Mus musculus: one gene and its partners. The protein of the gene in region 1 interacts with the protein of each later gene in a biochemical or structural test. Links are inferred from orthologs where the notes say so. Each region holds a gene or a part of one and is shown in the gene's direction. Other genes may lie near its edges.

What was found.
Region 2: the proteins of Dlg1 (region 1) and Slc16a3 interact in a test that uses a peptide from one of them, tested with the Homo sapiens proteins (2 studies listed by IntAct, with this or other methods). The link is inferred for Mus musculus from reciprocal best matches to the Homo sapiens genes DLG1 and SLC16A3.
Region 3: the proteins of Dlg1 (region 1) and Crhr1 form a complex in vitro, tested with the Homo sapiens proteins (3 studies listed by BioGRID and IntAct, with this or other methods). The link is inferred for Mus musculus from reciprocal best matches to the Homo sapiens genes DLG1 and CRHR1.
Region 4: the proteins of Dlg1 (region 1) and Mtmr1 interact in a test that uses a peptide from one of them, tested with the Homo sapiens proteins (2 studies listed by IntAct, with this or other methods). The link is inferred for Mus musculus from reciprocal best matches to the Homo sapiens genes DLG1 and MTMR1.
Region 5: the proteins of Dlg1 (region 1) and Net1 form a complex in vitro, tested with the Homo sapiens proteins (3 studies listed by BioGRID and IntAct, with this or other methods). The link is inferred for Mus musculus from reciprocal best matches to the Homo sapiens genes DLG1 and NET1.
Region 6: the proteins of Dlg1 (region 1) and Atp2b4 form a complex in vitro, tested with the Homo sapiens proteins (2 studies listed by BioGRID and IntAct, with this or other methods). The link is inferred for Mus musculus from reciprocal best matches to the Homo sapiens genes DLG1 and ATP2B4.
Region 7: the proteins of Dlg1 (region 1) and Adgra2 form a complex in vitro, tested with the Homo sapiens proteins (2 studies listed by BioGRID and IntAct, with this or other methods). The link is inferred for Mus musculus from reciprocal best matches to the Homo sapiens genes DLG1 and ADGRA2.

The regions. Positions count from the first base shown.
Region 1 is NC_000082.6:31,661,963-31,666,242, forward strand, and holds the start of Dlg1 (disks large homolog 1), read left to right. Parts: upstream 1-1,480; 5' UTR 1,481-1,526; intron 1,527-1,972; exon of another isoform or gene 1,973-2,359; intron 2,360-2,858; 5' UTR 2,859-2,889; coding exon 2,890-2,908; intron 2,909-3,612; coding exon 3,613-3,744; intron 3,745-4,280. UniProt on the Homo sapiens protein: Essential multidomain scaffolding protein required for normal development. Recruits channels, receptors and signaling molecules to discrete plasma membrane domains in polarized cells.
Region 2 is NC_000077.6:120,947,611-120,951,866, forward strand, and holds the start of Slc16a3 (monocarboxylate transporter 4), read left to right. Parts: upstream 1-1,456; 5' UTR 1,457-1,540; intron 1,541-2,235; exon of another isoform or gene 2,236-2,402; intron 2,403-3,106; exon of another isoform or gene 3,107-3,883; intron 3,884-4,256. UniProt on the Homo sapiens protein: Proton-dependent transporter of monocarboxylates such as L-lactate and pyruvate. Plays a predominant role in L-lactate efflux from highly glycolytic cells.
Region 3 is NC_000077.6:104,156,781-104,160,280, forward strand, and holds part of Crhr1 (corticotropin-releasing factor receptor 1 isoform 1 precursor), read left to right. Parts: intron 1-1,435; exon of another isoform or gene 1,436-1,943; intron 1,944-2,471; coding exon 2,472-2,591; intron 2,592-3,500.
Region 4 is NC_000086.7:71,367,760-71,371,259, forward strand, and holds part of Mtmr1 (myotubularin-related protein 1), read left to right. Parts: intron 1-2,039; coding exon 2,040-2,145; intron 2,146-3,500. UniProt on the Homo sapiens protein: Lipid phosphatase that specifically dephosphorylates the D-3 position of phosphatidylinositol 3-phosphate, generating phosphatidylinositol. Could also dephosphorylate phosphatidylinositol 3,5-bisphosphate to produce phosphatidylinositol 5-phosphate.
Region 5 is NC_000079.6:3,915,421-3,919,520, reverse strand, and holds the start of Net1 (neuroepithelial cell-transforming gene 1 protein), read left to right. Parts: upstream 1-1,300; 5' UTR 1,301-1,455; coding exon 1,456-1,583; intron 1,584-4,100. UniProt on the Homo sapiens protein: Acts as a guanine nucleotide exchange factor (GEF) for RhoA GTPase. May be involved in activation of the SAPK/JNK pathway Stimulates genotoxic stress-induced RHOB activity in breast cancer cells leading to their cell death.
Region 6 is NC_000067.6:133,750,948-133,755,178, reverse strand, and holds the start of Atp2b4 (plasma membrane calcium-transporting ATPase 4), read left to right. Parts: upstream 1-1,431; 5' UTR 1,432-1,897; coding exon 1,898-2,090; intron 2,091-4,231. UniProt on the Homo sapiens protein: Calcium/calmodulin-regulated and magnesium-dependent enzyme that catalyzes the hydrolysis of ATP coupled with the transport of calcium out of the cell. By regulating sperm cell calcium homeostasis, may play a role in sperm motility.
Region 7 is NC_000074.6:27,084,489-27,088,745, forward strand, and holds the start of Adgra2 (adhesion G protein-coupled receptor A2 precursor), read left to right. Parts: upstream 1-1,457; coding exon 1,458-1,723; intron 1,724-1,780; exon of another isoform or gene 1,781-4,062; intron 4,063-4,257.

The DNA.
Region 1 (4,280 bases):
TCCTCTATGCAATGTGGCTTTTACTGTTGATCAAGACCCCAGCATGCCTAATGCAACAAATCAAAAAAAGTCTGCTTGCCAACCTGCTTGTTCGAACTCATTGCGGAAAGCGCCCTGGGTTGGAGCTAGGAGAGCCGAGTTGTGCGCTGTGGCCACTGATCCGCTTATATATCACGGGGAACGTTTTTCTTTCACTTTCTGAAAGGAGGTAGATCTACCTGAGCTCTAAAGTCCTAAGGTTCTCACAAGTTAGGATTCTAAGGTACAAGCCAAAAGTGAAACCCAGTCATCAGCATACTTGGGTTATGGCTATCGTGCAAGGTTCTTCTCTGACTTTTCCATTGTCAAGGACACAGAAAAGGCCTGTCAGGTTTATTGAAAAACCAAAAAACCCCTCATCTTTCTCCCCCTTTAATTAAAACACAAGTACCGGTAGATTGATTTTAAATGTGTCTGTGCATGGAGGTTAAAGGACAAACAGGAGGCTCTCTCCTTCCACCATGTGGGACCCAGGGATGGAATTCAGGTTATCAGGCTCATAGGCAAGAACCTTAACCAAGCGAATCATCTTCAAGCTGGATCCAAGCAGATCCAGCCTTACGGTTTGACACACATGGATCTCTGCATTTCTGGTTCTGCTTCAAGAACTTCTGACGACTTTGGAAAAATTCTCCTGGGCTATGGAGCAGAGAAGTTCCTGCTGCTCAAAAGCAGCTCGAGTCAGTGACTTGGAGAACTTTCCCCTTCAGGCTCAGTTCTAGAGCAAGTGTCCCTTGGGACTGTTTGTTGGGCTGTGAGGTGCTTGAAATTTAAACTAGGTGTGAGGGCTGGCAGCGAGAGGCTTGCTTTCTTTGTTTTCCACCTGAGACAGGGTTTCTTCTCTGTGTAGTCCTAGCTGTTCTGGAACTCACTGTTCTGGATGGCCTCGAACTCACAAAGATTAGCCTTACTTAGCCTTTCTGGGATTAAAGTCCTGTGCCACCACCGCTGGGGTAGACAGGTGAGTTTCTTAAAGGGACCGCCATAAGATGGGTAACTCCTGGGAGCATCTCTGGGCGGGGACACATTCATGAACGCACAAATGAATGCAGGCATGAATGAATGAAATATTAACGACTGAACTTTTCACTTGTTTAAACGGCTCGTACTAGGAGTTAACCACTTAGACCTAAAAATCCTCTGAAACCCTCAAACGTTTAGCAAACTAATCCGTCTCCGCTTTACATCCGGTCCTTAATGAAACTCCTCAAACCTTTTTTTTTTTTTTTTTTTTTGTTTTTCTGGACAAACGAATAATTTAAAAACCAGCAAAAAGTGGAAGACATACAATACCCCTTCCCCTCCTAAGTCCCTTCTTCCTCCGCCCCTTAACGCGGGTGACTGGTGCGCAGCTCCGCACAAATTCCTTTTTCCCTGTTGGGGATCCACCCCGGGCGTGCCAGGCACTCTTCCTTTCTTGAAGTTGGCCAGCACGTGTTCAGTGAGGTGAGGGGTGTCTTGAGCTTGTTTCTTGGGATCTAGCGCAGGTGAGGTCACTTCTCTCTTTCAAAGTCTCCAGCAACTCGAGTCCGGCGCGCTAGTTCAGAACCGCAGGCCACCGGAGGTGGGCTAGGGCAACGTGCAGGCTTGCTGTCCCAAAGCCACTTCGGGCCACCTGTAGAGCGCGTGTCAACTCCTTTGTCCCCAGAGCCGCTTCCACCGGAGCTCCTCTCCGCAAGGCGCTTCCCTGTGGATGCTTAAGGGTCCTCCTTCCAGTACTCCAGCCCCCTCCCCGCCCTCCTCCCGGCCCTCCTCCCTTCTCCAACCCCGGTAGCAGCGCCCGGAGCCCGGGGCTCGGAGCGAGCCGCCTCCTCACTTCTCATTGGCTGAGAGCGTCGGGGAAAGCAGTCACGTGGGCGCGCGGCAGGCCAGCTCCAGGGCCGCCATCTTGGCGGAAAGTTTAGGGGGAGAGCGACTGGGGGCGCGGAAGGAGGCGAGGTTCCGGGGGTGGGGCGGCCCGGAGGCGAGCGGACGAGCAGGGGCCGCGGGCCGCGGCGAGCGGGCGAGCGGCGGCGGCCGAGGCGGAGAGAGCGGCGCGGGGGTGCGGCCGCCGAAGGGGGAGCTCCTCCCCCGTCCCCTCACCCCCTCAGCTGAGCTCGGGGCGGGGCGGGGTACGTGGAGCGGGGCCGGGCGGGGAAGCTGCTCCGAGTCCGGCCGGAGCGCACCCGGGGCGCCCGCGTACGCCGCTCGCGGGAACTTTGCGGCGGAGCCGCAGGTGTGGAGGCCGCGGAGGGGGGTGCATGAGCGGCGCGGAGAGCGGCGGCTGTCCGGTCCGGCCCCTGCTGGAGTCGCCGCCGGGAGGAGACGAACGAGGAACCAGGCAAGCGAGAGGAGGGGGCCCGAGCGGGCCGGGGGAGCAGCCGGGCGCTCGGCTGGGCGCTGCGCGGCTGGGCACGGGCCGGCCCGCGGCAGCAGGTGGGGAGCGTGGCAAGCACGCCTTGGCGGCGGCGGCGGCCGCGGCGGCCGGGCTTCTCCTCTTCAGGTGCTCTTTGCGGAGGGGGGAGCTCTGGAGGCACCTACCGAAGCGGGCTTGGGTCTGATCTTAATCTGTAGGGGGCATAGCGACCCCCGAGAACTCGCTTTCCGCTTTGGCTGACACTGCTGGGGGTTTGAGGCTTCTGCTTTTTTTCCACTTGGGAAAACTTTGGAAGGTGGGCAGTTCCACCAAGGTTGGAGTTTTTCCCTAGTCGAGAGTTTGGGGCGGGGGATGGGGTCGGGTAGGGTGGGGTGAAGTGGGGTGGGGCGGGGGCAACGAATGGATCCACGATTCAGTTCATTGCATTAGTTCAAGTTTTCCTTCCTGTTTTGTGTTTGTAAAGGTGTGTGCCGCCTTCCTGATTCTGGAGAAAAATGCCGGTCCGGAAGCAAGGTGAGAATTTATTTTGGAACTGTTTTGTGGCTGTCACTTGCTGTAACATACATCAGTGTTGTGGTTACTGTTTTTAAAAGGTTTGTGTGACTTTGAGGAATCAGCAGGCTCTCGCTTTTATTCCTTATGGTATCAGAGCTTCCCATCATTTCAGAAGGTGGAAACATCTAGTTGGTTGCACACACCTTCTTGACATCTGTAGTCATTACAGAAGCAATCAACAGAAGCAATCTGCCCCCTACCATGTCTTTTTCAAAACTTCATTGCTTCAGTATTTCACTTTATCACTCATATCAACACTATTTTGTGAGCAACTCTGTGAGCAACTAGGAATTAATGTTTTGAAACACGTTTTGGTTATAGGAACAAATTGTAGATAACTTGTTCTTGTCTGTTAGGCATTCTAAAAACCAAGTTGCTATCAGTTTAGTTAGACGGTCTTTTAGTCTTGGAAGCTGTCAGTCCACAGCTAACACAGGCTACTCACTTTCTCCTTTCTCTGCTGTGATATAAAGCCTTTAAAATATTTGTCTTAGTAGGGAATGGAATATGGATATAGTGATGGCAGCCCTTGCCTTGGAGGCTCAGGGGAACTTATAGATGTCTTGTAGAGGTAGCGTGTAGCACTCTCATGTAAATATGTATGCAGATACACACAGAGCCTTAATATATACATGAAATTTTCACCGTATTTGTCTTTTCAGATACCCAGAGAGCATTGCATCTGTTGGAAGAATATCGATCGAAACTAAGCCAAACTGAAGACAGACAACTCAGAAGTTCCATAGAGCGGGTTATTAACATATTTCAGAGCAACCTCTTTCAGGCTTTAATAGGTGGGAGTTAAAACTTTTCTACTCTTGACCACTGTACTAGTGCCTGATGCTTCTCTGTTATGTTAAACTTAGAATTTGAAAGACAATGTGTTTGGCTCTCTAGATGGTCCTTAACTTAGGACATCTCTAGTGATTTTTTATTTTGCAGTTAGGCCACTGTCACTTCTAAAAATGTTTAATTATCAGAAAAACTTCTGGTCTGGTGATTTCTGTGCACTTTGAGAGCACAGTTTCATGTCTTAGAGTTAACAGCTGGAATATGGACAAGTTGTAGAAATGTTTTAGGACACCAGTCGTGACAACTGAACTACTGTTGGTGTTTTTGTAGTTGGCGTGTGTTTCTCTGGAATCCTTGGAAATATTTGAAAGGCTCTGCTGCTGTGCTTGAGAGCATTTGCCTCTCTGACACACACACACACACACACACACACACACACACACCCTCTGTTAGAGTTGCCATTTGTGGAATATGAATTTTAGACCTGAAACATGATCTCAGAGATGATGCTGTCTAATTACCTTATTCTAGTATTCCT
Region 2 (4,256 bases), on another chromosome or scaffold:
TCCGAGATGCCTCCTCATCTCCTCACCCAAACTGCCCGGTCATTGGTCATTTCCATTGTGTGGCATGGGTTTGAATCGGCACCCCTTGCACCCCTCGGAGGACTGGAAAGAACTCTCCCAGCTCAGAATGGCTCTACTCTCTCCCAATCCTGTTCCTTTCCGGGAAGTCAGCATTTGTAGAGCAGCATGCAAAGCTGCTGTCCTGTCCTCATCTCCCACACTGGGCTGGGAGTGTTAGGATTGCTCTTGTGCTCTGTGTATTCAGATGCCCCAAGAGTTCTGTGCCCCAAGATCAGGTTGCAGTCTGGACATGGGCAGCGTATTGACCAATGTGCTGTGGAGAATGCTCCCCAATAACTTCTGATTGGATAGTAAAAGGCTAAAGCCTGTGACTGGGCAGGAAAGAGAGGAAGGTGGAACTTGAGATGAGTAGGGGTATCTCCAGTAGGTACCAGGAAAAGGAAAAAGGCAGGGGAAGGAAGAGGCCTGCCTTGAGGCAGGATGGTCTGGGAGGATGGACCATGAGCACGTGGCCGAGAGAAAATCGCTGAGGACACTCATGGGGCAGAGCAAACACAGCAAGACTCAGTTGGCAAGTAATGTGGCGTCTATAGTTAGGATGTTATAGCAATCTCAGAACCTGCCCGGTTTAAACTTACAGCTTGTTAATAAAAACACCAGGTTTCTTTGCCCCCCCCCCCGCCCCCCAGGGAGCTATACAGGCTAGAGTGGAGCAGAAATCCCCCCATAAAAATCACTTCTATAGGAGTTGAGGGGCGACAGAGCAGGGCTGTGTCAGTGCCTGTATCTGACTTTGTTGCAGGGCCCCGACCACAGGGGAAAACGGAAGTTCAGGGAGGTTGACAGCCTTGCCCAAGATCCCCGGTCAGTCCAAGGTGCCTGAGTCTTCCTAACTAGGGAAGACAGCTGCCACAGCCACACAATAGCCCAGGCTGAGGCACGAGCAAGGTATGGTGGTTTGGATGGGGCGAAAGTCCGAAGTAGGCAGGCGGCAGGAGCCCTGTGTGCATGAGGTGTGGTGGGGGCGTGTGCCACCCGGCAGAAGGCGCAGGCCAGAAGGCCAGGGTCTGGAGGGCAAAAGGTCCCAGTCTCGGAGATAGCGAGGACATTGCCACTCTCTTGCAGGAATCATGGAAGGAGCCCACAGTCTTGGGAGGGGATAAATGGAGGGTAGAATGGGAAGCAGAGGTGGGTAGTCACGGCCCAAGGGCGCGGAAGAGAACAGTGAGAAGGTCTGCGTTGGGTGGGGCCCGGGCCCCGGGCGCCTATAGAGCGAGTGCCAGCCTGGTCTCCCTGTTAAGTGGAGATGGCATTGTCCGCGCCGTCGGGGAACAGCGGCCAGGGCGCCCCCTCCGGCAGCGGCGCGGGGTCCGGGTGGGGAGGGCAGGGGCGGCGCCAGGCAGCGGTGACGTGCGCGGGGGACGTGCCGCGCGACGGATGAGAGCACTTAAAGTCGCCCCCGGCGCGGCGCCGGGCAGCCAAGGCGGACAGAGGCAGATACAGCGGCTGGCGGTAACAGGTAGGCGCGGCGAGATGCTTGGCGCGCGGAGCGAGGCTGGGACCCTCCCCCCGCCTCCAGTCGCCCAAGGTTTGGGGCCTTCGATCATCAGGCGGGGGATCCAGACCTGGAGCTCCCGGCCCCTGACCCTCTCTCCTCCTGGTTCTCCAGCCCCATTCTTTCTTGACTTGGAGAACCTTCTCACCACTGCGGCTCCACCAAAGGGCCATGAACAGCCAGTTGCGCGCTTGCATCCTGCTTCCCTGCCCTCGTAGACGCCTATCTATCCATCCGGTAGCCCTCGGGGGCTGGGCTTCGTCCAGGAGGGCAGCTGCCCTGGGCGACCAAACGTCCAGAGTATAAATAGCTCGGCCCAAGAGGGTTGGAGCGTGGCCGGACGGCCGGGGAACCTGGGCTATATTTGGTGGGAATGCTACAGCCTCCTTGGAACCCCGAATCTCCAGCGGGCGTCAGCAGGCCGCCCAGTGAGAGAGAGGGACACGTGCGCTTCGGAATGGTGCCACGTTGGGGGAGGTATGCCCTCGGGTCTCTTTCATCTCTTTACATCCACCTTTTCTACCATCTTAAACTCATCAACTCTTACCCAGCCACCACTATTAACCCAAACTAGGCACATGAAAGTGGGGTTTTCCTCCGGAGTGGGCTCTGTTTGCTCTATTCTCATCCGATAGGAAAACCAGGCACGGTCTGTTTTCTTACCTGACAAGTGGGTTGACTAGGCGCCTGCCTGGATGCTGGTCCAGTCAACAGACAGGCTCAAGAAACTGTTAACTCTGGACAGCTGATAGTGCTTGGAATCTGGGTGACAAGCAAGGAGAGGGCAGCAGGGCCCAGGCCGACAGGAACCCTTTCAGGACAACAGGTTGGTCTGAGCGTAACGGCAAGGTTCTCCCCATAACACAGGCTCATTAGCTTTCCCAAAGTTCTTCTGTTGGGAGCAGGTTATCCCCGAGGGCTCCCGGCATCATTGTACAGGCCCAAAGTTGGCTGGTGTCCCGTGGGTGCTGGGTCCGTCCGTGTTGAGGAACGAGGACAGTCCTAAAAGTGTGTGGACTCACTCAGGATGAGCAGTGACTAGTGCACAGCTAGGATGCTGTGCAAAGGATGAGTCTACCCCTTAAGGGGCACTGAGGACACTACCGAGATACATGTGGCCCCTTCTTGGCAAGGACTTTGAATAACCAGTGGTTTGGTTCCAAGATGGACTTGGCCACATCACCAGTGACCTTGGGCAGGGCTTGCTCCCCGTAAAAACGATCTCACTGCTTGGATGCCTAAATTTCGAGGGGCAGCGAGGAGAAAGCACAGTAGGCCTTAGAACCATCAAGAAGTAATGTTGAAGGGGCCAGTGCGTGGGACCCCACAGTATGCCGGTGTTCCGGGACTTTAGGACTCTAATCCTCCAGTGAACTGGTCAGAAAGGGGAGGGCTGGGGAGGCCCAGAAGCAGACACCTTTGGGCCCCATGCGGGACTTTCTGGATGGTGATGCTAAGCAATTAGAGACCTCTGGACCAGGCCTTGGTCCAGCTGGCACTGAGCACTGGCTCAGGGGCAGGTTAGGAATGGAGACCGCCCTAGCGGCAAGAGCAGACTTCTGGCCGTTGTTCCCATCAGTGGAATGGGCCATGAGGGGGTAGATGGATAATGAACTAGCCCATCTCAGCATCCCAGAGGTTCAGTCGCGCGCCCTCGCTCGCCTTCGTGAAGGGCAGAATGAACTGGCCCGCCTTGCAAGCTAATCTACGGGTGAGTCTTAGGTCTCTCAGGGCATTTGGCGCCGTGAGCTGCAAGTACGGTAGAAGCAGAGGACCGCCTACTCCAGGCAATACGGCAGCGGCTCCTCCCTTGGCGCGGTCACGTCCCCCACGTCCCGAGTCCGCTTGGGCGGAGCTTCCTTCCCTAACCCGACCCATTGAACCCCGCCCAGGTCGGCTGGACCACTATCTCCAGTCGGTTGCCGCCCTCTGATCCAAGCCCCACCCCCACTCATACTTCGGCCATCTCCAAACCTGTATCTCCTCTATGCCAGACAGTGATGGGAGTTGGAGGGCGCTTATGACTTCCGAGACTCCCTTTAGCTTTAATCTAGATTCTGGCTTTAGGGAGGAGGGCTGCATGAGAATCGAGGGCTCCGTAAGATGCTCTTGTGGAGGAGTGGACCGTGCAATGTTCAGCAGGGCCTTGGTGGAACTTTGCAAAGAAGGGTCTCCCACAGTAAGCCGGAGCAGGTCCCTAGGGCTGCCCCATTTTGTGACAGCCAAGGTTCCTCACAAGAAGGGGGATCTCAGGGCTGAGGTGGTGTGATGGTTGGTTCTGGGCAACTGTCTATTTTGGCAAACAAGGTCAGTATTTCTATCCCACGGATCCCTGCAAAGTTGATGTGAGCTGACAGGACAAAGCGCAGAGGAGCCAGGCACGCACTGCAGGCCTCCAGCTGCCCACGGTGGCCTCTCCAGAAACCACCCCCCTAGGGACTTTTCCATGGTATACCTTTGCACACGGGTGGGCTCAGAGAGGAGAGGCCCATTGCTACATTTTCCTTTTTTTTTTTTTTTTTTGTACAATGGTAGGGGGGGGGAGGAGGGAACTTGGAAGGGGGCCTTTTAGCAACCGTCTGCCCCTGCCACCCTGAGATACTGGGTGCTGGCCTCAACTGCCTTACTTGTTCTTTGGGGATCTGCAGCGCAACACAAGGGCTGTAGTTGCCTTAGTTCC
Region 3 (3,500 bases), on another chromosome or scaffold:
TAACAGACGAAATCAGTGTCCAACTGTACACAAGCCATAACTAGGCCACCCTTGAAAGAGTCCTTATCTGTAAACTGAGTGACCCAGTGACAAGTGACAACCCTGGATACCTCAGCAATCACCTCCTGGGGACCTTCGAACTGGCTACTCCCTCTCTCCCATGTATGCACGTGACTTCCTCTCTCCAAGTCTGTAATTAAACAGTGCTTTAGAGAAATCCCAAATTAAAGTAGCACCCCGTCCGTCATCATCTCCGTACATTGCTTGTAACATTTCGCACTGGATAGCACATGCTTGCCTGCTTGCTCACTGTGTCTCCCAGTAGGGTGAAAGCCCCCTCGGGGCCAGACATCTATTTTATTCATTTTTCTGTCCCCAGTTCACCCCACTTCTTGGGTGAGTTAAGTATTTGAATTTTTGTTTTGTTTTTGTTAAGAGAGGGAGAGAACATGAGAGAGGGTAGGGAGGGGGGAGGATCTGAGAGGAGTTGGAGGAGGGAAAAATAATACCAAAATATATTCTGTGGAAAGAAGAATCATTTTAAAAGCCTCCGGTGTTCTTCCCTGTCCATTCAGCCGGCGGCTGACCAGGAAGGGGCTCGTAGGTAGTTGGCTGGCTCTGTCTGTCTCTGTCTCTCTGTCTCGTGGGGGGGGGGGTGTGAGAGACAGACAGAGACAGAGACAGACAGAGAGAGGGGTTAAAAATTTAAAGTAATCCAGGCTTCCGCAGCCTAGGCTTTGAGATCCTTGAGTGCTTCAGGCTAGGACATGAGAATTCCTATGCTCTGAAATCGGTCTCTGCACCTGCTTCTCAAGGCATTCCTCTGCCCTTCCGGGCTTTAGCCTCAGCATATTCTTTATTCTTTTTGTCCCAGTCTCCGTAACACACTCCAAACTCGGTTTGTTCTTTTGCTTGCTTTGTCTTTTCCCCTCCTCAGAGTGATGTGGCGGGTGGCAAAGCGCCCTTCACAATGCCTGGAAACATTCACGCCGGCCCCTTCCCTCCTATGTCTTATGGGTCCCCTTCAGAGACCCTGTCTGTCTACTGGATCCCCAGGGACCCTGCTCTCTTTCCCAGGCGTGGTCCTCAGGGTGAGCAGCAAACGCTGGTCAAGCCGAAGGTTACTGGACAGCGGGGACCCCAGTGGGGTGGTCTGGGGACTGGCGGTGTGCTGGGCAGCGCTGTTGGAGGCCCTGACATGCCGCCTGCTCCCTGCTGGGTCTGTGCCCTCCTTCCTTTCATTTTTCCGGCCCCTGGAGCTCCTAGCGGTGGACTGAAACCCTAGTGCCAATTCAGCAGCTAAGTGCATCAGTGGAGCCCGGCCGCAGCTCCTGATTGGCCCCCATACGCTTGACTCCGCCCTCCCCCGCACTGCCCCACCCACAGGTCCCAGTGTGGATGCTCTCTGAAAGAAGCTGGTGCCTTTGTTGCCTACCCGTTCGTTCCACCTCTCTTCTCCAGTCTTGCAGCTTTTCAAAGATTTTGATGCTCCAGGATTTTCTGAGCTTTTAATATAAAGGTCGCTATATCCCCGTTGTCACTTCAGAAGCTTTCTGTGAGCGTCGGGGACAGGCGCAAGGAACATGGCGCAGAGAGGAGGGAGCACCAGCCAGATATTGGCAAAAGGCAGATGCCGGCCAGAGACCTCTGTGGAGCAGTGGAAGCTTATGGCTGGCCTCAGAAGCCCAGGGTTCAAAATCTACCCCGCCTCTTGGGTCGACCCCTGTGCATTCCTGAGCCTTCAGTGTTCCTTCTCTTTAAAGCAGGGAGTTAGCGTCCAAATGGGCAGGTGGTGTAAGACCAGAATAGATTTTAGGTTATTTAAGGGAAGACCCTAGGACATTCGCCATTCTGCTTCGCCCACCATCACATGGGTCCTGCTCCTCCCTGGATGAGCAGTGGGCGGAGTCAGAGCTCTAAATAGGGTCTTTAAAATGGGGGACATTGAGGGATGGCGTTTCCGGCGGGAGACTCCTTCAGGTGGAGCCTCACTGCTCTAGCTGGTCTTGATATCAAATGGTGCTAACTGCCCTTAGGTCCTTTCTGCCTCTAGCCTTCGAGAAGTGTATTGGGGGACTGTTAAAAGTAAGGAAATAGGCAGGTGCTTCTGTCTTTGGCAGAAGGTATGTTAGGCGTTTCCTTCCCTGGACCCTGACAGCAGTGCATTTAACCTCCACGGTGCTGGGCGAATGCATGAGCCCCTCTGAAGAAAGCGTCCTTGCCAACAGCAGGAGATCTGAAGCCAGCCCGGACTGTCTTTCTTTGCTCTGCTCTGGAACTCAGTCTCCCAAGTGCTGTAGTAGCGAATTTGCGCTCCTGTATTGGCTGAGCTGATATTCCTGCTGAGGTTTTGCTTTTTCTGCCTTTACTGGGACTGAGGATAGACAGAACTCCAGAGAGGTTTCTGTCTACCTGGGACCTTGCTTTTTTTTTTTTTTTTTTTTTTTTCTCACTGTTGTCTCTGTTCCTAGGCCTGCAGTGCAATGCCTCCGTGGACCTCATTGGCACCTGCTGGCCCAGGAGCCCTGCAGGGCAGTTGGTGGTTCGGCCCTGCCCTGCCTTTTTCTACGGTGTCCGCTACAACACCACAAGTAAGGAAGAAGGGAGAGAGTGGGCTACTGGGGTAGAGTGGCGGCAGTTTGGTGGTGGAAGAAATAGCCACCATCACCCCTAGGGCCAGCTTTGCTCTGGGCTGATTCTTGCAGAGAAAACACCTTCTATATAACCAAGGTGCCTGGACTCAGAGAAGTTAGGGAATTTGCCCAAGTCACCAGCCAACAGTGGGTGAAGCTGGGATACTGACCCTTTCTTCTGTAGTTGTAGGTTGACAAACTTCTGGTTAGTCCCATTGGTGGGTAATTGTCCTAACAGGACAAGGAATTTTCATGGAGACAGGGCACCTGGAGGGCCCAATCCACGATTGAAAGTGACTTGTATCCAAGTATCCCAGGCCTGCAGCTGTGGTGGGGGCGGGGCAGGACTGACCCATGGACTGAGCAGATACTGGATCCCCATGTAAACACCTTGCTCCCTGGAGGCCCAGCCTTCATGCCAGGCTTTGCAGCTCCTTGCTATAGCATCTGCCACCCTCAGAATTAATTTGCTTTCTCCTGCCAATGACTCAGGTTCCTGCTATCAAGAGAAAAACAGATGGAGCCCAGGGGCCGTTGACATGCAAAGGAGGTTGGGTTCTGGGTCCCTGGGGTCCCTGGGGGCTAGGAGCTCCTGTGTGAGTCCCGAAAGTGTGATAGGTCATCCCCAAGCTCCAAACAGGTGCCAAAAGTGATCAGAGGCCACGTGACCCACGTCAAGACTCACTGGGTGACCTCAGTATGTTCTCCCTCCTTGTGGCCCTCCAGCTTCCCCATCTGAGGTTTAGAGGGCTGAGGACCTCTTCCCACTCCAAACTCCCAAACCTCTCCTCCCATCCCTCCATCATTTACTAGATGGCTGAAGGGGGTAAGATTAGGAATATAGACAGGATGGTTTGAGAGGGTGGC
Region 4 (3,500 bases), on another chromosome or scaffold:
CTTTATGTGTTTGTAATCAGGAATGGGTGCTTGTGGTAAAAGGGCAAAAAAGGAAACTTGGTGTGGCAGTCTCTACCAATAAACACTGCACTCAAAATCAGGCAAAATTGGTGCATATACAAGGACAATATAGTGGTAAACAGTGAGTTCCAGGCCAGCCTGTACTAGAGAATAAGACTGTCTGGAAAAGGAAAGGAGCAGTCAAAGGGGGGGGGGATGGGACATGTCAGCATTCAATCCCAGCACAGAAAGATCTCTGAGTTTGAGGCTAGCCTGGAACACCAAGCTCTGGAACAGCTAGGACTACATAAGTATGTAGAGAGAGACCATATTTCAACACACATGGAAATGTCTTTCTCCTTTCCCCCTGCCACTTAGAAATTGTGATAGAGTTCTAACTTCTACTAAGATCATGGAATCTTAGTGTATCATCGAACTTTAAACCTATTCAGCAAATATTTTACATATATTTTCAACTTTAATGACTTAACTACCTTAATCAGAGACTACAAATTAGATGGATGTTCTGTCCTTAAAACACATGAGTGTGAATGTAATTTGTGATGTTTTTGTTTTGTTTCCAGACAAAAGCTAACTTTGTGGTAAAAGGTCCTAAGTAAAAGTTTTGTCCTCTTGCTTGATCTTTTTTCCTGTATTGACAGATCTGGAAAGGTGCCTGGCTCTCGAGGGCAAGTTTTAAATCCCTGGCCACCTAGTTTGCCTTTGTAGTCTATTGGGTCAGGTGAGCAGAGACCAAGATCTTACAGTGATATGACCATGGACAAAACTGGAAGCTCAGTTTTCTTTTCTATAAAATGGGTCACTGGGGGGGGGGGCGCTAGGTAACACTGCCTTTTACACTAGCAGAGGGTTCCATCTCCTTTGCAAACTGTTGTATTTCCGTATTGAGGCAGTGTCCCAGCATGTGTGGTACTGCCTTTAGCTCAGTAAGTCAGTCATTGTGAGCTGTGCTGCTCCCTGGAGTGGTGGCCATGTTCCTGGGTATATTGTGGCTTCAGCACCTCCATTTCCTTATCCAGTCAAGTTGGCTGGTGTCTATTCTGCCGTTTTGTCACAACTGGTTATAAAGCTTTGAGTTATTAGCTGGAAGAAGCTTTTTTCAGTCGTTAAAACATTTACAGAAATGTAATGCAGCATCATTACTTTATATAAAATACCTTTTCTAGTCTGTTCTATATTAACTCACCATCAGTTTAACTCTAGTAAAAGTACACTGTTTTCTAGATTTGAAACTGTAAACGTGAATTTGGTTGAATGTTGTTTGAAAATCATGTTTTAATGTAAATATTTCACTTTGGAATTAATTTCCTATATATACTATGTTAATTTATATATGTGTATATATACATATGTGTGTGTATGTATATATACACTATATCTTCCATATAATTTTGATAGAATTCTACAATATGTTAGAGAGTAACATGCTTAACTAAATACCTGTAATCATTTTAAAATTATTTATTTTATGTGTATGGATGCATGTGTGTCTGTGTCAATACATGCCTGGTGCCCACAGATGCCAGAAAAGGGCATTGGAATCTTTGGGACTTGAGTTACAGAAAATTGTGAATGGTCACATGGACAATGGGAACACGAACCTAGTTCCTGTAAAGAGGTGCTATTGCTCTTAACCACTGAGCTGTCTCTCTAGACCTAACATCTCTGATCTTAAAGTTTTAGTAAAAGGTTGATTAACTCATCTAAAACCAACCTAGAACCTAATCTTATTTTCTGTTTTGTCTATTATTGATTCTTACGTTAAGTAGAAAGGCAACCAAATAGTTTAAAACATTGGGGTGCATATCTATAATTTCAGCACTTGGGAGGTAGAGGCTGGAGCATGGGGAGTTCAAGGCTATCCTCAGCTACATAGTGATTTGAGGCTGTCTGGGCTGTACATGAGAGACTGATTTTAAAAATGACATCTATATTATATCTATATATTCCTACCCAGGACACTTTTTTCTCATTAGGAGTCTGTGTTTAAAGGGTTTTAACCACACTGTTTCTTTTAGTCCTACAGGGTCACATGTTGAATGGTGTAAACAGCTTATAGCTGCTACAATTTCTAGTCAGATTTCAGGTTCAGTGACATCAGAAAATGTGTCAAGAGATTACAAGGTAAGCGGCATTGAGTGTTTAATTCATTATTATATAGAATAGCTGATTCGTAGCCAAGAATGTTGTAGTTTAGTTCATGTGAGCTTTTGACCACTTAATTTTTATTGTCCTTTGGAGGTGGTGAGGACAAAGGTTCTCTAGTGTTCAATCTGAAATACAGATAGATAGAGATAGAAATATAGATAGAGATAGAAAGTTCTACCTATTTTTCTTATTTGTGGTTTTATAATTAACATAAAGAATGTCCTAAGGTTTTGATCAATTTTTTTTTAAAAAATCAAGCTCTATTTTATGAGAAATGTATAGTGGGCATAATAGTGCATGCTTGTAAGGCCAATACTACTTACAAGGGAGTTAGAGGCCAGCCCATTGTCCATAGAGAAACTTCAAGGCCAGAGGAGGTTACCAAGTGAGATTTCCCATCGAACAGCAGGCAAACAAAAAGAAACATGTTTGCTTTTTTTGTTACTGTTTTATGTAGCAATCAAACCTGGATGCCAGCACTGTACTTCACAAACATGGTTTTGTATTTAGGCATTGCACTTGCATAGTCATCATTAGCAAGGATACTACAATTCTAAACCATTTACAGGGCTCAAAACAGGACAGCCTCATTGTTTTATGCCTTACTGGAGTGATAAACTTTTGTTTTAAAAGTTGGATTCTCTGCATTTTCTAAGGTTAAGAGTGAGGCTTCAAAAAAAAAAAAAAAAAAGCCGGGCGGTGGTGGCACATGCCTTTAATCTCAGCACTTGGGAGGCAGAGGCAGGCAGATTTCTGAGTTTGAGGCCAGCCTGGTCTACAGAGTGAGTTTCAGGACAGCCAGGGCTACACAGAAAAACCCTGTCTCGAAAAAAACAAAACAAACAAACAAACAAACAAACAAGGCTTCTTGTTGGCATAGACTGTTTTCTAGCACTGTTCTAGTTCTTAACAGATAGGTGGCGCTTGCCTTTAATCCCAGTCTACACAGAGAAGCCCTGTCTCGGAAAAAAAAAAAAAAAAACCAAACAAACAAACAACCAAACAAACAAACAAAAAAATAGTCATTGAATGAATCAACTAGCAAAAATCTCAGATGTTCCATCTTTGTTCAGGCTATAAACTAGAATTTAATTCCAGTATGCTGTTAACAGATACACAGTGAAACTGCTTTGATATGTTCTTTGTGTTTGCTTGAGGGGGTTTTTTTGTTTGTTTTGTTGTTGTTGTTGTTGTTTTTGCCTGGCAGGCATGGTGAATACATTCCCTTTTCAGTGAGTAGCTCTTAGAAGATGGCAAATCTCACAAATAGTTCAAGAGCTTCAGCCAACATCCTAAGCTTGCCTAAGATTACCAAAGTTAATAGAAATCCT
Region 5 (4,100 bases), on another chromosome or scaffold:
TGGAAGCCAGTATTCTGCTAGCAGCCTTCAGATGAAGATATAGAACTCTCAGCTCTTCCTGTACCATGCCTGCCTGGATGCTGCCATGTTCCTGCCTTGATGATAATGGACTGAATCTGTATTCCAGCCCCAATTAAATATTGTCCTTATAAGGGCTGTCTCTTTCATGGTGTCTGTTCACAGCAGTAAAACCCTAAAACAGAATTTTTCTAAATTGACATAAAACTAGCCATCATTGTTCTATATTTCATATTTTATGCTTTCAGTTAAAATCACAATGTTTTGTTTTACTATATACCTCTTATTTTTAATTTTCTTTTATTTTCAAGATTATAATATAATCACACCATTTTCTCCCTTCTCTTTTCTCCTTCCCAACTCTCTCCTATACCCCTTCTTGCTATCTTTCACATTCATGGACTCTTTTTATTAATTATTGTTACATAGTCAATATGTAACAATATGTTATACATATATGTTCCTAAATACACAAATACAGCCAGCTCAGTCTGTATGATGTTATTTGTATGTTTTCAGGGCTAGCTGTTAGTATTGGCTAACCAATGGTATTCCCTGAAGAAGACCATTTCTTTATCGGCTGAATGCAGTCTTCACAGTTAATCAGTTATATTTAGACATCTCCCAGTCATTCATTTAGATTGCCTTTAATTTTTCTATTATACACAACATCATTAATATCTCCCTGTATACAAGAGAGACTACATTTAAGACCATTAGCGATATTTAAAATCAGAGAACGTTTTTATTTACCAATCTTCACATAATAACCTGAGCAGGGTCCCTTGTTTCATGCTGCACGTTTTGCAGTCTTGCAAGCAGAGAAAGCAGCCCTTTCCATTCGGTAAAGCGACTGTGTCCTACTTACTGAAAGACAGGAGTACATAACTAGATTTCACTGGTTCTCTAGAGACATCCTGGAGAACAAAGTATTGTCTTTGGCAATTGGGAATATATTCCACATGTATAACTTAGTGTTTATACGTCCAACTGCCTCTTGCTTTGGGGTCAATACCTTCATCCTGTCTAACGCTAAACAACAACAAATGATAAACAGCTTCCGATCCATTTTCCTGCCCTGCAAGTGAAAGTTCTAGTGAATAGAGACTGCCTTTCAGGAGTAAGGTGTGTAGTTAAAATAAATCCCCAAATTCCTAACTTTCACCTTACCACTTTCCCTTTGTCACTGGAGCTCCTAAAAGTTTGGTATGAAGTCTTCTGATTAGGGCGGGACTCCACGTAGCCTAGCAACCGCTTCCCACTCTCTGATTGGCCGATCTCTGGGCAGCCGCCATTTTCAAATCCCCGGATGACGGCGGTAGCCGCTCTCTGCTAGAAGGCGACTTGCTGCCTCGCAGAAGCTGGCGGGCATTGTGCCCGCCACGATCGGTCTCCTGGGCACTGGGCCACCGCCCCACCAACCCCCCTTCTCCGGACATGGAGCCAGAGCCGGCGGCTCAGAAGCAGCCCCGACCTCGGAGGAGAAGCCGCAGGGTCTCAATGCTCAGCGAGGAACCTGCCGCGGGGCTTCCGGCCGACACACCCGGGCCGGCGGCGAACGAGAGGTGAGGGTGGCGGGAGGTGGGTGAGAGCCGGGGACCGAGTCTGGAGACTCAGGACGGGATGGACTGGACGGTGGGTGACCAAGGACTGGCAGTGCAGTAGGGGAGGTTGGGGAAGGCCGGGCAGAAATGCCGCGGGAGGAGAGTGCGCTGCCCGGCGGGCTGCACCGAGGGCTGCACAGCGACTGCTCGGCCCTGCGTAGAAGGGGTGGACTCGTTGGACTTGTTGACAATCTCCTTTAACCCCGTCCCTGGGGAACCGTACATCTGCACCAGAGCTGTTCTCTACCAGAAACTAGTTGTGGATGCAGGCGCTCAGATCAAGACTGTCGTGGACCCTGTGATGAGAAGAGGAATTGTCACCTGAACAGATACCAACCCTTTCAGCCTAAAAGCGGCTGTTCAAATGAAATGTCCTTTGCAGACCAGAACAGGACAGGCTCCTGGAATGAAGAGATCAGAGAAAGACTCTTTCTGGCTTTTCAGTTATTAGCACATTTTCACATTCTGTGTTGTATCTTCATTTCTATGTGTCTGGGAAAGGCAAACACTAGGTTGATTTCAGAAATCTGTGTCTGGAAGAGAGGCTGTGGGAGTCATAATATTTTTATTAAATAGGAAATTGAAATGGCATTTGTCTGGACTACTCTGTCATTCTTTTGCCCTTCGAAATATGAGAAATGGTCTCAAAGTACTGAATGCAATGGTTTCCCATTATAACGTTAGACATTGAGTTACAAAGTATGTAACTTTGTTCAAATCTACGTCTACATAGTGAGTTTATGATAGTGTCTGCCTCATATAAGGCACTGTGTGAACATCAGTACTTATCATGGGCCTCGGCAGAAAACTCGGCAGAAATCTTGTCTGTCAGTTTTAAATCTGTTAAAGTAACAGTGCTGTGTCTGCTCCATCTTTTCAGACATCCCCATGGTCCACTTGACATGATTTCAGGGTTTTTTTGGTTTTGTTTCTGAGACAAGTTCTCACTGTGTAACTTGGTTACCCCAGAACTCACTACCTGTGTAGAGACGCTGGCCACAAACTCATATTGTACTTCTGTACCAGAGCTGTTCTCCATGGAAACTGGTGGACTGTAGGTGGTCTTACATCCATAGGACTATTGGTGAGAAGAGGAATTGTCACCAAGCAGGCTCCAAACCGTTCTGCCTAAAAACTGGTCTTTCTTCCTTAGCCTCCCCCTGTTCTCGGATTGCAGTGTGAACCTCGACGCCCAGGTCATTTGATAGGATGTTAAATTAATCTTTTATATAGCTTATAATCTAATCATGACAAATGGTTTTGAGGAAAAAGCAAACACCTTACTTTCATTATCAAGGCATGGGCAAACCCATTGTATTAAGTAACTCTATAAAGAGCTAGATTCTTTCAGTTAGTACTGATTTTTATGAGTTTGAAGTTTAAGGCAATATTTACCAGAATTCTTGCCTTCTGAAACTTCCTCTCTTCCAATCAGACCGTGTGTTTAAGAAGTCAGAGTGCAGAAAGAAGGCATCTTTGAGACTGAGAATTACAAGAATTAGGATGGGCTAGTGAAGGAGCAGAAAAGGAGGACTTCCTGAAGATGAACAGAAGCAGTGCTTCATTCCACGTGTGCTCAGTGTAATACAGTTGCACCTGCCCTAGCATCAGACACTGTTGAGGATGATGGGGATTCAGGTGAACAAAAGCAGATGGAGCGCTTGCTCTCAGGAACCTTAGATTCTCTTGGGAGGCGTTGGTCACATCATGCAGTGAATTTAAGCCTTTTTGATTCTGTGCAGAAGAGGAAAGATTCTAGGGCCCAGAGTTGGTAGATGACTCCAAGGAAACAGTATCCTCCAGACATAAGAGCACTGATGCACATCTAAACTTACAGAGATTGAAGGAATGCACAAGACCTGCAACAGGTTCAAACCAGACAAGATCCTAGCACTGAGAATGGGAGAGTTGACACACCATCCCACTCAGAACCAAGAAGCTGTTTGCAATTGATACCTCCTGGGAAAAGGAAAATTGTTGTTTTGTTTTGTTCCAGTGGAGTATTGGTATATCAACCACACTCCAGAGCAAGGCCCATGCCCAGGTGTCTTGGTCACTGATCCATTTTTGTGAAGAGACACCATAATCGAGGCAAAACTTAAAGAAAAGGTTTAACTGAGCCTGGCTTACAGTTTCAGAGGGTAGTCCATTATTATCATCATCATGGGACGCATGTAAGCAGACATGGTGCTAGAGAAGTAGCCAGAGCGCTTTATCCCCATCTGCAGGCAGAAGACAGTCTGACAGGGCCTGGCATGGGCTTTTGAAACCCCAAAATTCATCCCCAGTGACATACTCCTTCAACAAGGCCACACCTCTTAATCCTTCTAATCCTTTTCAAGAGTTTGCATTCAAATATATAAGCCTATAGGTGTTGTCTTATTTTCAAAACTTACTTTAATAAGGGTTCTTAAATGCTTCAACCTCCATTCTAACCTACCACCCACCAGAAGTAATGAAAAGGTTAATAGGGCAAAG
Region 6 (4,231 bases), on another chromosome or scaffold:
ATGCCAGTCTTAATGAGGGAGTTACACCTACTGCCTCAGGGAACCTTCTCAGGATTCCCTGCTTGCTTAACTTGTTGTAAGTCGGGGTATTGGGGAGGTGGATGGAACATGCTGGCTGAGGGGCAGAAGTGGGATAACCTCCATTCCAGAGGAACCTGCCTGAAACAGGATTGGTTGAAATCAGTCAGGAGCTTTGGCCAGATGGGATTTCTGGAGAAAATAAATTGATAAAAAGAGCCAAGTTCTTCTCTGATGACTCAAGAGTTGTATTCACCTTCTAGAAGCAAAAAAAAAAAAAAAAAAAAAAAAAAAAAAAAAAAAAAAAAGCATTTGTTTATTACCTAGCCAATTGGAGTGCCTTGCCAGACCCTGGCAGCATCGACCAATTGCAGGGTGGTTATTTCACCAGAATGGGGCCCTACATACTTGAGCCTCTCCTATCGGAGGAGCTGATATATAACATGTAGCCAGCCCTTGTCTGCAGCTGAGCATAGGGCTCAGCTCAGTCTCTAAGCCACCTTCAGCCCCTCTCATCCCCACATACCCTTAGCTGTGCCTGCACACCCTAGCCAGTATGTGCTCCAGCTAACGTCTATCTTGCTGAGGGAAAAATGCCTACCTTTCTCTGATGTGTCACTATGCTAACATGAGCCCCTCTGGTTGCTCCCTTACCCTGAGGACAGTGTTGGGACCTGTCTATGGGCTGAACAGACTGTTCTCTTATCTCTCCTACACTGGAAAAACTTGAACACTCACTATCTTTCTTCCCAGAGCTCCACCTGGCCCTTATAGAAAAACTGAATCCACCCTGTGTCATAAACTGTTAGCGTGTTTCACTCTTTTCTTACCAGGAAAAGCCTCTGCGAGGGCTTAGCCTTGAGACCAAAATTTGGTGCCAGATAACTGCTGTAGGTTTCCAAATTTTCATACCACTGAAGGCTGAGTGTTCTAAGAGACCTTTTATCAGCCTGTCTTTCTGGATTGTAAATGTCTGTGTTGGGAGTAGAAGGTGCACAAGCAAGCCATGTTTCAGCCCCCTTGGGTCTAGATTCCTTTTCTGATTCTTCTCACATCTTACAGGTAAGGCCAGACTAATGTATCCTATAGGTCAGTCAGCCCATGAAGGGGAGGAGCATTAGAGGTTATAACCTTTTATATGCGAGTTCCTTGAGTTATTTTGTGTGCCTTGATTTGGAAGAAATAAGGCTTAAAGATGATGTTTCTGAGATAAATCCTCTACATTCCCAGCCAGCAGGCCTACCCAGGGCTTCCCATGAGCCTGGATACTGAGCTCAGGCCTCAGTTCTCAGTTCCGTTCAGCCACCAACTGTCATTTAAACCCTTCTTCTCGAGAGTACCTTGCAGATCCTGGATCCTCATGGCTGTTCTAATTGTTCCTTTTTGTCTTTTTTTTGCATCTCTATTCCAGAGGCCTAGCCCTCATCGTTATCCAGGGAGCCCTCCTCTTTTTCCTGACGCCAGCCTACCATCGTAATTGCTGATTGTTGCTAAGGTTGCTTCCATGGTAACATGCTTATCCTGTTTACACTTCTATATGGACAAGAAGTCTAAACTAGGAACCTACCTACTCTGGACAACCATTCCCATCTCCACCCAGAGGACACCAATCATCGTGACACCACGTCCATCTTTTACTAAGTTCCCCCAACCTCTTCCTCTTCTCACTAGTAGACTTAATACAGAAGCAAGGATCTAGGCCGGGTGTTGCTACTCTGAAACTTATTGCACGAGATATTGTCAATTTATCCCCTAACTGACCTCCCAGAGAAGAAAGAAGTGGGAAGAAACGGCGAATAGAAGGCAAGAGACACTGATCAGTTAGAGGGGAAACTCTACATCTTCTCTGGTTGAGAGTCTGGTAACTGAAGAAGGCAAAATGACGAATCCACCAGGACAAAGCGTGTCAGCCAACACAGTGGCTGAGAGCCATGAAGGGGAGTTTGGCTGCACCTTAATGGACCTGCGAAAGCTCATGGAGCTTCGTGGAGCTGATGCAGTGGCCCAGATCAGTGCCCACTACGGAGGGGTACAGGAAATCTGCACTAGACTGAAAACCTCCCCTATAGAAGGTAAAGGCCATTTCAAGGGTTGGGGATTGGGGGCAGTGAGTAGGATTTTGAAATATTTTTGTCTAGCTTCTAGGGAAAGTCCGGTTCTGGAGATCCAATAAGTTGTGTCTGGTCTGGTGGGGAGAGCACAGACCTCTAAAGCCGAGGTGGCCACTGAGGGAGGGCATGAAGAGCTTTCCTCCTCTACCACGTTTAGGAACTGTGATCTCTGAGTCATTCTCTCCTCCTACTTCTGTGTCGGTCCATCGTATGGAGGGTCCTTATTTATTATGTAGATGCACTTATCAGTATAGTCAATGTCCTCACTTAATTAGATTTTGATTACAGAAGAGCTTAAGATGGACATCTTCCTCACACTGATCTTAAAGCTCAATGGATGAGAAAAGACGACAGGAAGTAGTATTCCAGCCATCTGAGTACCTTACTGTACACAGAAATGGGTTGGCATATCATAAATATGTATTTGGATAAATTAATATTTTCTGTCTTGGAGTTTCTGATTTTTTTTAACCCTGTCTAATAAAAATTTTTCCCCACCATGTAGGGTCCAAACCCAGGGCTTTGTACAGCGCCCCGACATTAATCTGTAGCCTCAGCCCACTGTTTTGCTTTTTAATTTAAGACAGATTCTCAGTACATTGCCCAGAGTGGACTTGAGCTCACTCTACAGTACAGGCAGGATGTCAGGTTATGATGTTACAGGCCAGGCATATATCTTATAAGCTCTGAGTTCAGGTATTTGAAATAATGTTTATAGCTAGCCTGTAGAGTTACTGGGATTAAGTAGTACAGTGCATATGCACACATGTGTGTTTGTGTGTGCATGTGAGAACTGATAATAGGTGTTGAATAAACTGAATATAGGCCATATGCCTGGAGATTTTCCTAGGGTGTGAATGCCCATGAGTTTCAAAGAAACATAATCTCTACTCTGGTTAAGGTATGTGTGACTGCAGCTGCTGTCTGTTCCCTGTGCTCCCTGTCATCTCTGAGGCCTGATTTTAGGGTGACAGTGCTTAGTTGCTCACAGTCAGTCCCCTGGGCCTTCCAGCTTGTGTCTAATACTGCCTTTTGGATACTGTCCACTTCCTGCTAGTTGAAGTTTTATTATTGGTGATGGTGGTGGTGGTTTTATTATTTGCTTATTGAAACAAGGTTTCACTCAGTAGCCCAGGCTGGTCTCAAACTCAAATGAATCATCCCATCTCAGCCTGCCATGCACAAGAACTTATCATCGGCATGCGCTGCCACCCCCACCACCCCCTACTGTGTTTGTTTCCCTGGGACAGTCTCACTCTGCCAACAAGGCTGACCTGGAATTTGGTGTCCTCCTGCTTTAGTTTTTCTAAGTGCCAGGATTACAAGCATGCACCACCACACCTGTCCCCTGAGTGACTTTCTCAGGGACTTCTACAGAGTATAGGCTGTAAGGAAAACCTGTACCTTCTTGTGCTTTCCTGAGACGATGCAGGTGTTTACAGACCTCCATCAGAAGGGAAGCTGAATCTTTCTGTTTTCCTCCTTTTATATTTCTTTGACAAAGAGGAACTTGGGGATCCAGTAAGCTAGAACCTGGGGGGCTCCTCAAAACAGGATCCATACTTTCCTTCCATCTCTCTAACCCTCTCATATAGCTATGACAAATAGCCTTCTCTAAGAAGCCAGCCTGTTGCCAGAAGACCATTCGCAGATGCCTCTCAACCTCATAGGATTTTGTCACCTATGGGAGGCTCCTGCAGATTAATAATGGGAATAAAGATACGGGAGTGAATCTAGATTCTAGTTAGAAACCAATATGAAATAAGTTTGAGTAGACTGGCGTTGGGGAGCATTGTGCTTAAAACCCTTCTTACGCAGGAGCTGAGAGGAGACTCTCATGAGCCTGGACATTTGAAGCTGGCATGGCTGGGGAGGGGAGTGGTAGTAGTAAGGAAAATAGAGCACCCCTTTATCCTTTTATTTTTGCTTGGATTGATAACATGCTTAGTGTAGATAGAACTCTTTAAATCATAGCTCATAAGGAGCCTTATAGGAGCTTGAGAGTTTTGACACTAACGTGATTTTGTTAGCCTCCGTTTATACAATTCTAGAGGCAGATATGACTTAGTTTTTAATTAATTTTTCTCACTTTTTATTGGTTA
Region 7 (4,257 bases), on another chromosome or scaffold:
ATCCTGGGTCCTCTAACCCCAACCTTCTTTTCAGTTGGCACTGCAGCACCTCTAACACCCACAGGCATTAGCTGTTGGTCATTGTTACTGTTGCTTTTTTGAGGTCATGTCCATAGGCACTTTGACTCCCCAGTGGTCAAAAGCCAGATCCTACCTAGGACTGGCCCTTCTTCCTCCTTCTCTGGCCACGGTTTACAAGCAAGGCTCAATAGACTACACACCCCTAGGTGTTACATGCTGTGTCAAGTCAAACAGCTAATAAAAGACATGGAGGGGGGCTGAAACCTATACTGCGATACCCTGGCTGGTGGTAGAGTCTGCCCACACCCTAATATAGATCCCTGGGCCTTCTCTTATTTTCCCCTTACTCATTTACTGCCCTGCCCCAACACACACACACACACACACACACACACACACACACACACAGTGTTAACAGGAGGATAGCTTTGGCAGTGTCTGCCTTAACCTTTGACCTCTCCTTGGCCTAATGACATGCACCTCCCGCTGGGCAAGGTCAATGCTCACAGGGTAAGATCTATGGCCTCCTTGTCTCAGTCTTGTGCCCTCCTGCTGTGGCTTCAATCCAAGTCTGAGGGGTGGGAACAGGACTGTGAGAGTCAACTTATAGATCGGCTCATCGCGACAGGGGCCAAAGAGAAACCTTAGATCCTGAGCTAAGTTCAACCCCTTAACCCGGAGCACCAGACTTCCCAGGCCAAACCAGAACTTCAACGAAAGTCCTAGAAAGAGGGGTGTAGGCTGGATGAGAGAGCGTTTTTTTTTTGTGGAAAGTGATGGTTGCCTTACAAGTCTGAGCTGGGCGGTAGAGAGAGAAAGTCCTGGCTAGTAGAAAGAGTCGTGACAGGACAACAGTCTTGGTTCAGGGTAGGTGATGGGGTATAGGAGTGGGTGTCTGCTCAAGCTGTCTTCTAGGCTTGCACTTGAAGGAGGGCAGCCGCCTGGCAGGGTATCAGGCGGCGCTAGGGCCTCGCAGAGTGACGAGGCGGTGATGGAGGCGGGCGGGGGCTGGCGGCGGGAGCTGAGCGGCGCCTAGCTGCCCCCATCCATGGCACGGAGCTGCGGCAGCGGCGGCGGCAGCAACAGGAGCCCGGCACGATCCGCTAGGTCTCAGCCGCGCGCAGGGCGAGCCGGCCACGCGCAGGGACCAAGCTTCCGTCGGCTCGGAGCGCTGCGCTGAGACTCCGGCCGCGCCGCCGGGGGCCACCCGCGCTGCGCTGTCAGCGGCGCCCGCGTCCCTCCCGGCCCGGGTGCTCGCAAGCCATGCCCCCGGAGCGCAGCAGCGGGGACCCCGAGGCTTGCCTCCGCCCATGGCCCCCCGCCCCGCCCTCGGGCGCCCGGGACTCCCGCTGAGCACTCCTCCCGCACGCCCGGGTCCCTCCGGCCGGCGAGCCGTCCGGCCCCTGCGCTGTAGGTCCCCGCGGGGCGATGGGTTGATGGGCGCGGGGGGACGCAGGATGCCGGTGCCTCCCGCGCGTTTGCTGCTGCTGCCGCTGCTGCCTTGTCTTCTGCTCCTGGCTCCTGGAACTCGGGGTGCGCCTGGCTGCCCGGTCCCTATCCGCGGTTGCAAGTGCTCTGGGGAGCGGCCCAAGGGACTAAGTGGCGGCGCCCACAACCCGGCTCGAAGGAGGGTGGTGTGCGGCGGTGGGGATCTCCCCGAACCTCCAGATCCCGGCCTTCTGCCAAACGGCACCATCACCTTGTGAGTACCTTAGTTTGTGCCGGGTATGGTCAATTAGTGGGACTTAAGTGGGGGGGGGGGGGGGGGCGACGATCTTGCCACTTGAGAGCCTGGGGAAAGTCTGAGTCCAGGCGACAACCGGGAAACTCGAAGTTCTAGGATCAGAGAAACCCCGGTATGGCCCCAGAGCGAGAGGCATCGCGGAAGCCTGCTCACCTGCACAGGTGAAGTGCGTGTGGACGGTGGAGGGACCACTCCGTGTCCCTTGTCCCAGATTGGCTAGTGTTGCAGCCTTACGAGGCCCTGAGCTGGGTGAGAGTGGGATCGGTGTCAGGGACCCATTAGGTGGCTGTGGTCCTCACCACCTTTGAGGCTTCGGAGCCCGCATGACAGGGAGCCTGCTGGTTTCAGCTAGCTAGCCTGGTTCCTCTAACTGGGATAACCCAGTCTGCGGTGCCCCGCCCCGGGCCTGCTGAGCTCTGCTCCCAGCCCGGCTTCTTGGGCAGGGGAGCCTGAGACCGCTAAGCCTGTCCTTGGAATGCAGGCGCTTCTGATCTGACCCCGTGCCCCATCTCCTCTTGGGCTCTCTCCCATTGCGCATATAGTTTGGCTGTTTATCGATTAACTTAATTACTCAACGATTTGGTAGGAAAACCTGACTGAAGGGAGGCACGTGCCTCCCGGCCTCCTTCCATAGTTCTCCCTTCAAATCGGGGCCTGATTAAACCCTTGCTTTCCTGGCCCGCGAGCACCTATGCTCTTTAACCCGAGTCTTAAGTCCCGGCAACCGCACTCGGAGAGCTTCCCGCACCCCAGCGGTTTCCTGAGCTGACCATATGCTCCAAGTTCCACGCGACGTGGTTTAAGGGTCGTGCCCCGGCGGCGGCTCCTTGCTTTCCTGTTCAGGATCTAGCCTAAAAGCCGCTTCCCCTTCCCTGTCATCCTGACCCTGGAGAGAACCTTTTCTCCAAACCACCCCTCGCCCAGGGCTGGGGCTGGTTTCATGATTGTACCCAGAACAATACAGTAAGTCCTGTGGCGGGTTCAGAGGCAGCTGGCTTCCTGACAGGACACAACTGGTCAGCTTGTGATGTTGGCCGGCTGGCTTGCATTTTCTCCATCCAGCTGGGCTGTGTGCCTCGCAGTGGAGACTGGATCTCTTCTCTCTCCCACCTCGATGCAAGCTCTGGCTTGCAGCCCTAGTGGCTGCTAAGGCGGTTCACAGTAGGTCTGAGTGTCATGATGTTTAAGGGTGCTGAAAAACTTGGGCATTCCCCAGCTTACTTAGTTCTGGAGGAGGGAGGAAAAAAAAAAAGTGCTTTGCTGTGAGAAATAGCTGGCCAGCGTTTGTGACACACAGCTGCACCGTGATAGCTCGCTCGCTCGGCTGGGGGTGGAGGTGATTTGTGTATGGGCACATGTTCCAGAGGCTCAGCGAACTCACATGTGTGGGAGCTGTCTCTTGTGTGTCTGTTGGTGGGGATTAGGGAATCCTAACATGGTCAAGGCAGAAGGGAAGGGAGGGGGAAAAAATAGAAAAGTGGTTTTGCAGGACATCTTAGACTGATTTGGCCACTAATGCTTTCCAGCCACGGCTAATTCCCATCTACGCCACTCAGAGGAGCGGGACCAGTTCTTGGTGAGAACATATCGTGGCAAAGTAGCAGCAGACTTGGCTTAAGCCCTTCCTGCTCCAGCCTTAAGCCCTTCCCTAAGGAAGGGCTCCTCTCTCCTCTGGGCCATTCACCTAGCTGGCTTACAGTACCTTCCAAAGAGACTGGTCCCCAGCCTGGCAGGACCCTGGAAAGGACAAGGGAGCCCAGTCACCCACCAGTCTGGAGTGTAATGGAATCTGAATCTCCCTCCAGATGTTTTTCTCAATTTTCCACATTTATGATCCTGATGGGTCGCCACCCAGCAGTCTCTGAAGTTAAAAAAAAAAAAATCAAACTAGGATCTCAGTGGAAGGTAGGAAGGGGACTCAGTCCAAGCACACTGTCATAGCTCATCTTGAAATGAGACAGGAAGGCTGGAAAGGGGCTGCTGCTTCCAAGGAAGAGCATGGAACCCCCTTACTTTTTAAAAATCATATTTATTGATATTTTATATGTTTGGGTGGTGTTGCCTGCATGTATGTCTGTGTGAGGGTGGCCGGTCTTGGCGCTATAGACAGTTGTTAGCGGCCGTGTGGTTGCTCAAGTCCTCTGGAAGAGCAGTCAGTGCTCTTAACCCACAGAGCCATCTCTCCAGGACTGGGAGCCCCCTTATAAGTGGGGAGTTTTGCTAGGTGTGGGGTTGGTGCTTGTAATCCTGGGGGAGGACATTGAGTTCCAAGCCATTCTGGGCTACACAGGGAGATCCTGTCTCAAACAAAACAAGACATTAGTCTTTTTCCCACACAGATTCCCCCTCTCCCCCCCCCTTTTTTTTTTTTGCTTGTCATCAGGTAGAGCATCAGGACTTGAGCCAGCTGTTTGTGCCTTGTGGCTGTGTCCTCCCTCTTAGACATTTGCTACAGTCCCCTTCCAGAATGGGTCCCCAGCTTCCAGCCACAG